Coturnix japonica: one gene and its partner. The protein of the gene in region 1 interacts with the protein of each later gene in a pairwise test. Links are inferred from orthologs where the notes say so. Each region holds a gene or a part of one and is shown in the gene's direction. Other genes may lie near its edges. The genes, in order: WDR4 and RABGGTB.

Region 1 (3,915 bases):
ACGTAGCAAACAGATCTAACTATTCCAAGAGGTTGGCTAACACTGTCTTTTAAGCAGTAGTGAGGGATGACTCTAAGGAACTAATACTAGTGCAAGAGGCTACTCAGGCCATGCATGAAAGCACTACTAGTTCATAGGACTGCGTGATCTACCAACTGAACTGGATCTCAGTTTAATGCTATTTTTCCTATCTCCACTTCCCATTTTAGTTTGAAATCTCTTCATTAAAAAACCTTAGGAGGCTTTTTGATGCTTTTGAGCCTGTCTGTGTTTCTTCTCCCTCACAGAGGCTCCAGAAGTAGATCAACAGCAAATACAGTTTTTGTTAGAGAAAACAGGAGGGCAAAAAGGACTGAAAGCACATACATATATATGCATGGTTTGGAAGCACAGACCTACTTCACCGGACTGTAACGTAGACTGCAGTTTTTTCTCCTTCCTAATGCTCAATGTATGTATGCATACATACATTGTATGACCTAAGGAGTTCCTGTAAGTAGCTCTGAATAGAAGCAAGCCTTTAACAACATTGAGATAAAAATATCATGGAAGAGACAGATACATCTAATTAAAAGCCAAAAATAGAAAAACAGAGCTCTTAAAATAAATGCAAATAATATAGAATATACTATCAGTTTACTATTCAGGTAATACTTTCAGAGAATTTCAGACATGCAATTTGCTGGACTAAAGGTAGAGGGTGGGGAAAGAGGATGGGGGAAGCAAGAGAATTGGCAATCACATTTGAAGGACATCTGACTCCCTGACAGTGAAACACAGAAGCCTTTATAATTGAATATTTGAGAAAGCATCCCTCCAGGCTAAAGAAGTCTTCAAAGAACTGCTGAGGAAGAACTCAAGAATGCCCGAAGGAAAGACATATAAGCAAAGCCTAAGAATAAGCTGAAGTATTAGTACTAAAGATGTCTTAAGAAATTAAGAATGCAGATAGCATTCAACTTGAGCATTACAAGGAAGCGTTGCTGGAAAAATACTTTAATCAATTGTATTTGGATACGTGGAAAAGACACATTTCTACTCATAACCATGAGCTTACACAAACTAAGCATAACCATACGCAGGAAAAGCAGGTGGTTGACAGAGGTAGATAAGCCTCCTGGCACCTTCTGAAATCAAAAAGCTGCAAGAAAATCAACTTTGAAGCATCTTACTGGTCACCGGCGGCGTCCCGGAGCCTCCTGGCCGGGTGCACAGCGTCGCCCCTCGGAGCCCCCAGACCTCCGGCCTCACTGCCTGTAAAACACAGCCATTAAGCCTTCAGCCCTTCGCCCGGGACCTCTCCGAGGCACGGAGCAGCCGGATCGGCCGCTCCGTGCCTCGGAGAGGTCCCGGGCCGAGGTTCTTTGGAGCTGGGAGAGCTGTAAGACCCCCACCTTGCGGGCAGCCGCCCACCCGCACCACAGCAGTGAGGGCGCCGCCATCTTGTCGTCCTCCTCCTCCTCAAGCCCCGTGCTGCCCTCTATCAGCAATACCTTCTGTTTGGCTTTTTTCTTCCCCCCTCTCCCCCCTTTTTTAAAAAATCTATTTATTTATTTATTTAATTATTTATTTATTCTCTCTTCCAGCGATCCTTTCAATTTATTTATTTATTTCCTTATTTATATTGATCGCGTTGCTCTTTTTCAGTACGTCATCATCGTCTCGTCACCTGTGGTGACGTCCACACTCTGCGCCCTCTCTCGCACGTGGAATGGAGGGCGGATGGGGACGCGGCCCCGGGCCCGGCCCGGCTTTAGCTCTCAAGGGAACGTTGATGGCTGTCGGAGGTGGGAGCCGGCTGATGGCGGTGCGGAGAGGGGAGCACAGGTCAGTGTGTGCCGGGTGGGTTGGGGCTGCCCTCCGGTTTGGTTCCTTGGGAAGGGACTTAACGAGTGTAGTGACAGGACGAGGGGGAGCGGCTTTAAGCAGAGAGAGGGGGAGATTTAGCTTAGTTATAAGGAAGGATTTATTCCCTGTTCTTCCCTCTGAGGGCAGTGAGGCGCTGGCACAGCTGCCCGTAGAAGCTGTGGTGCCCCATCCCTGCAGGTGCTCAAGGCCAGGTTGGATGGGGCCCTGGGCAGCCTGAGCTGGTGGGTGGCAGCCCTGCCCACAATTTGGCTTCTTTATGTTCTGAAAGAGTTGACATGTTCTATAGTTAAGGCCATGTTTGTTCCAGTTCTAGTGGTTTTATTCTGTTGTTTTTCCTTATTTGCAGGGATGATGCTCTCTTTGTGTATGACTGTGCCAATGTGGAAAAGAAGGCCTCAGGAAATAAAGGGTGAGAAAATAAGTGTAGATATATGGTGTTTTCCTTGATGGCGTATCTGACCCTGAGGTTGTGTGGCTATTAAAGTAATAAACCCATGAGACTGCTCCTTGAACGGGTGATGGGCAGATGCTCATTGCTAGCCCTGATGGATGTGTAGATTTGCACCTGCATGTATCAGTACAGGTTAGATGATGATCATCTGGAGAGGAGCTCTACAGAGAAGGACATAGATATTCTGGGATTCAACGGGTTGGCCATAAGCCAGCAGTGTGCTTTTGTGGCCAAGAAGGCCAGTAATATCAAGGGGCACACTAAAAGAGCATGGTCATCAGGTCAAGGGAGGTGCTCCTCCCCTTCTATTCTTCTCTTGTGAGGCCTCATTTAGCATACCGTATCAAGTTCTGGGCTCCCCAGCTCAAAAAAGACAGGGATCCCCAAGGAGGAGTCCAGTGGAGGGCCACAAAAATGATGAAAGGCTCAGAGCATGTTCTGCTTGAGGAAAGGCTGTGTAACCTGCATCTGTTCATCCTGGGGAGAAGAAAACTGAGAGGGGATCTGGTAAATGTTTATAAATATCTAAAGGGCTCTGGAAGGCAAATGGGTGAGACCAGGCTCTTCTCAGTGGTGTGTAGCAATAGGACAAGGAATAATGGCCTAAAACTTCAGCATGGAAAGTTCAGAACTAACACGCGCAGGGATGTCTGTATGGTAAAGAAGATGGAGCACTGGAACAGGCTGCCCATGGAAGTCATGTAGCCTCTTTCTACGCAGATATTGAAAACCCTTGCTGGACGCCTACCTGTGTAACCTGTTGTAGGGTACCTGCTTTGGCTGGGGGTTGGACTCAATGATCTTTTGAGGTCCCTTCCAACCCCTGCGATTCTGTGATATATGTCAATGTATATGTATTTTTTAGTTTCATCTCAGAAAAAACACTACATCTTTTATTAGAGGAACTAAGAAATGAAAGCAAGACAAAACAAAAACCAACCAAACAGATACAGTCTTCACAGAATCACAGAACTGCAGGGGTTGGAAGGGACTACTAGAGATCATCCAGTCCAACTTCCCCCTACTGAAAGCAGGTTCCCTACAGTAGGTCACACAGAAAAACATCCAGGTGGGTCTTGAATATCTCCAGAGGAGACTCCACAGCCTCTCTGGGCAGCTTGTTCCAGTGCTGTATCTCCCTAACAGTAAAGAATTACTTGTTACTTGTCTGTAACCATACGCTTTGCTTGAGTGCTCTTCTTATGAACTTTTGTGGAGGTCCCTGTACCGTGCACCATCTAGAAGTAAGCAGTACGGAAAACAGGATTCCTGTCTTAATTTGAGTTCACCAAAGTTCTGTGTCTTGTTTGTGCTGGTTAGTTTTAATAAAGAATAATTTCTCATATGCAGATACTGATGCAGGGTTTAGTCAGTGCACACTCTGTGCGCTGTCCTTGATCATGAAGTTGAGACGTCTGCAAAGCTGTAAATGTATTCCTGGATGTTTAAATTCTAACCTCTTGAGTCGAGAAGAAGAGTTTATCTTATTTATTATTATCTTAGTGGAGAATGTGAGGAAGATGAGCTTGTTTTGTCTATGCAGAAGGTCAGGACAAGGCACAAGAGGAAAGCTTTTTCGCTGTAGAAACAGGGCA
Region 2 (3,915 bases), on another chromosome or scaffold:
AGAGCAAGTAACCTGTTTGCTCAGATTCTTGTTCAGTGGTGGCTCCATGCACTCTTTCCTTCCTTTTTTTTTTTTTTACTTTTTACAAAACTTCTTACCAGCCATTCTTATTGTCTCCCAGTTCAATTTATTTCCTCCTACACTTATTCCTATTTGTATTTCTTTTGGTCTATTCCCATTCTTTATCCCAGTTACCTCACATGGCTGATTTCAGTCCACTACTGCCTCAGACTGTGTCCACATGAACAGTTTGGTTCTAACGAGTGCAGTTTTGAGGTGAATCTCCCAGGTTCGCCCCTGTTGTCCCTTAGTGCTTTGATTTACAGAGATTTGAAGGCATGTGAACTGAACTTTGGATTAAACTAACTAGAAGACATGATCTAGGAATGCACCTGAGGTGCTCCAGCCCTTCTTTAGGGGTATGCAGTGTAACCCAAAGCCAAAAGCCACCAAAACGCCTTGTAGGTCTTGGATCCAACCGTTTTACGCTCCAATTCATTGGCACTGGTCTGCACTATTTTCTGAAGAAAGGCTTCTAAGAATCTCCTACAAGGAATGGCTGAGAAAGTTTGATTTCTTAAGTCTAGAGAAAGCTCTGAGGAGACCTTATAGCTGCCTTCCAGTGTTTAAAGAAGGCCTATGAAAATGATGGGGAGAGACTTTATCTGGGAGTGCAGTGACAGGACAACGTCACTGTCAATGTTTATAGGATTATATAGCCCTATGGTCTATGGATTATAGACTTGCACCTTATATGACCTATAGTCACAGGTCAATGTTTATAAATAAAAAAGGGGAGGTTTAGTGTGACAACCTGGTTAAGAACTGACGTACTTAGAAAAAACAAAACAAAACAAACTAACAAAAAAGAAGCACTTATTTTTGACTGTCCTTCACATGCTGGCATAATATACTGTTTCTGTTGGATACTCTTAAGATCCTGTTCCAATCCAGTATGATTTTGTCTCCCATATGGGTCTGAGTCAGTGTTCGTAATTCATAATACAGTCATATCGGTTTTAATTAGGAAGAAAAGTGGCTTTGTTGTTGCTCGTTCGTTGAAATAACAGAGTATTCCTCACCCGTCCTGTGCTAATTTAACTCTTAATTACTCTTAATTAAAAACTCTTAATTTGCTTTTCCTTAAAGACAACGTACAGAACCAGAAAGCTTTTCTAAACCGCTGCCGTGTTTACCACGACGCACAACAACACGCACTTTCCGACCGCACACGTTACGCGCGCACCCTCCCTTTCAATTCAGCGTTCGGCTGCGACGAGCCCGAGCGCCGCAGCCGCCGCAGGACCCAGGGCTGCCCAGCGCCCCGCCGGCCGCGGTGCGGCACAGAGGAGCGTCGCTCCAGGCCGTGCAGGCGGCGGCGGCCCGAGCTGTCCGAGCTGTCCGAGCTGTCCGAGCTGTCCGAGCTGTCCGAGCTGTCCGAGCTGTCCGACGGAGTCCCGTCCTGCTCACGGCTCGGTGTCGGGCCGGACGCGCGGGGCTGTGGGCGCAGCACCCGGCAGGCGGATCCCGGGCAGCCGCAGCGAGGCCCCGTCGGGCGCTACTTATTGCCGCGCCCCCCTGGTACCTCCCTCTTTCCGGGGCAGGCGGCGAAGATGGTAGGTGTGGTGTGGTGCTCCGCGTGGGGATGGCGGTGGACCAGGCCCATCCTGTGCTCCATCCCGTACTCCATCCTCCTTGTCCCAACCTCCGTGCTCGGTGGGTGCGGTGCCGGTGCACGCTGAGGGCCGCGATGACCGTAATGGCGCTAGTTCGAGGCCCTGTAGGCCCGGAGCTGTGTCTGCCGCTGTTCGGGGCTGGCTGCGGTCGGAGCCGAGTGCGGAGCGGCGAGGAGAACTTGCCGCGTTCGGCCTGTCCGCCCCGGCCGGGGCTGCGGCGGGTCCGGGAGCGCACAGCGGGCGCGGCCTCGTGGCGCGTGGTTGGGGCCCGTCGTGTTTGAGTGCGTCGGGGGAAACTTTGTTTTATTTAGCGTTACTTAAGAAACAAAACGCTACATATTCATACACATATTGTGTGCCTCCGGTGGCGCAGTGGTTAAGGACGCCACTTTGTAACACTGGAGGCCCGGGTTCGAATCCCCCTGTGGCGCAAGTGGTAGAAGTGCTGCTCTGCTACATGAGGCTCGAATCCCGGGGGTTGGACTCGATGATCTCTAAGGTCCCTTCCAACCCGCACAAGACTGTGATACTGTATGATACTGTGATATTCGTGCTCATTCGCTGGGTAGGATTTAGCCAAAGTACTAGTGAAGTATAGAACCTTGACATACACAGAGAAATGTCCGATTCAGAGCAGTCAGTTGCTGCAGCGAACATTGGTGGAGACGTTCGTGGCTGCTGGAACTTGCCGAGCTGTCTGTGTAGCTGATGCCTCGTTGGTGCTTTTACAGGGGACGCCACAGAAGGATGTTATAATAAAACCAGATGCTCCGAGCACGTTGCTTTCAGAGAAGCATGCGGACTACATAGCATCGTATGGAACAAAAAAAGACGATTACGTGGGTATCAGTTTTGCTTCAGCACAGCTGTGGTTTTATTAATGGTACTAGGAAAACTTACTTGTTCTGTGCAGTCCAAAGTATAAGAGGAGGAAGGCTTTGTTGATTTCTTTTGGTCTGTGATGGCTTTTGGCATGTATTATCTGAGCATAAATGTGAAGCTTATCATTTTAGCTCTAGAATTACTCTGAGACCTTGGAAATGAACTGCTAGTTATGCCTTCATCCTCCAGAATGCATGAGTAGAACTATAATCACATGTGGGTGCTTACTAGGCAGCACACTGAGGTGCATTGCAGCATTGCCCTGCGAGTACTGTGTGTAAGGAGTGCTTCTGACTGTTGTCACTTGTGTGGGTGTGATGGAGCACATGGCAAATGGATTTTATTTGGTGAGAAGCATCGATAACTGTGTATTGGGGGGGGGGGGGGAATTTAGTATATGTAGGTATACGTGTACATACGTGTGTTTTTATGTGCACACATGCATAATACACAGAGTAAGGGTGACTAATACATTCTAAGTCATTTATGGGATTGAAAATATTTGATGTTACAAACTGTGTTTCCGTTGTTGTACTTCAATGGCATCTTTATCTGATGATGAACTAAAATAATGCACTTCTTAGGAGTACTGTATGTCTGAGTATTTGAGGATGAGTGGTGTTTACTGGGGGCTGACAGCAATGGATCTTATGGGACAGCTGCACCGAATGAACAAAGAAGAAATTCTGGCATTTATCAAATCGTGTCAACATGAATGTGGTGGAATAAGTGCCAGCACAGGTCACGATCCTCATCTTCTGTATACCCTGAGTGCTGTCCAGGTAAAACTGATGTAGAAACAGCCATTTGTGAATAATGATATTGATGAAAGCAGATATCACTTCTAATGTTCATTTAATGATGAATTTGCTTTCTTGATAAATTTTATAACACTCCTCTTGAAATATTTCTTAGCTATAGCATTTACTGGAATTTTGCACAATCCTGAACTTCGTAAACTTTTCTTGGTATATATGTTCAGAGTAATTTTATATGTGCACGTGCTCCAGAAACTTGATTCATATTAATAAATACGCATATGTGTATGCAATTACTATGTACCGTAACTGTAATATTAGATAAATACGTGGTTTATATTAGTGTGTGTTCAGCGTGTTTACATTCTACTATCATACAAATGGAACATCATAGTAGCCAGTTCTTGTTATGTTCCTCAAATTTCTTTTATTTTTGTAAACTTAAAGTAATATCAATCTCCTAATCATTTCTTTATTTGATGTTTACTCCTTCCCTGAGAAAAATGAAGTATTTTCAATTGTATGTTTTCATCATAGCTGTCTCCAATGTAGATTTAATGTTTCACCATCTAGTCTGTTTTTATCCTAGTTCTTGCACA

What was found.
Region 2: the proteins of WDR4 (region 1) and RABGGTB interact in binary tests that used the Homo sapiens proteins (3 or more experiments, as listed by UniProt). The two-hybrid records come from large-scale screens. The link is inferred for Coturnix japonica from reciprocal best matches to the Homo sapiens genes WDR4 and RABGGTB.

The regions. Positions count from the first base shown.
Region 1 is NC_029516.1:98,726,673-98,730,587, reverse strand, and holds the start of WDR4 (tRNA (guanine-N(7)-)-methyltransferase non-catalytic subunit WDR4), read left to right. Parts: upstream 1-1,586; 5' UTR 1,587-1,711; coding exon 1,712-1,827; intron 1,828-2,215; coding exon 2,216-2,278; intron 2,279-3,915. Other genes in the region: NDUFV3 (NADH dehydrogenase [ubiquinone] flavoprotein 3, mitochondrial), read right to left, coding at 1,173-1,254, 1,395-1,442. UniProt on the Homo sapiens protein: Non-catalytic component of the METTL1-WDR4 methyltransferase complex required for the formation of N(7)-methylguanine in a subset of RNA species, such as tRNAs, mRNAs and microRNAs (miRNAs).
Region 2 is NC_029523.1:26,855,404-26,859,318, forward strand, and holds the start of RABGGTB (geranylgeranyl transferase type-2 subunit beta), read left to right. Parts: upstream 1-1,425; 5' UTR 1,426-1,613; coding exon 1,614-1,616; intron 1,617-2,407; coding exon 2,408-2,515; intron 2,516-2,629; exon of another isoform or gene 2,630-2,712; intron 2,713-3,142; coding exon 3,143-3,340; intron 3,341-3,915. UniProt on the Homo sapiens protein: Catalyzes the transfer of a geranylgeranyl moiety from geranylgeranyl diphosphate to both cysteines of Rab proteins with the C-terminal sequence -XXCC, -XCXC and -CCXX, such as RAB1A, RAB3A, RAB5A and RAB7A.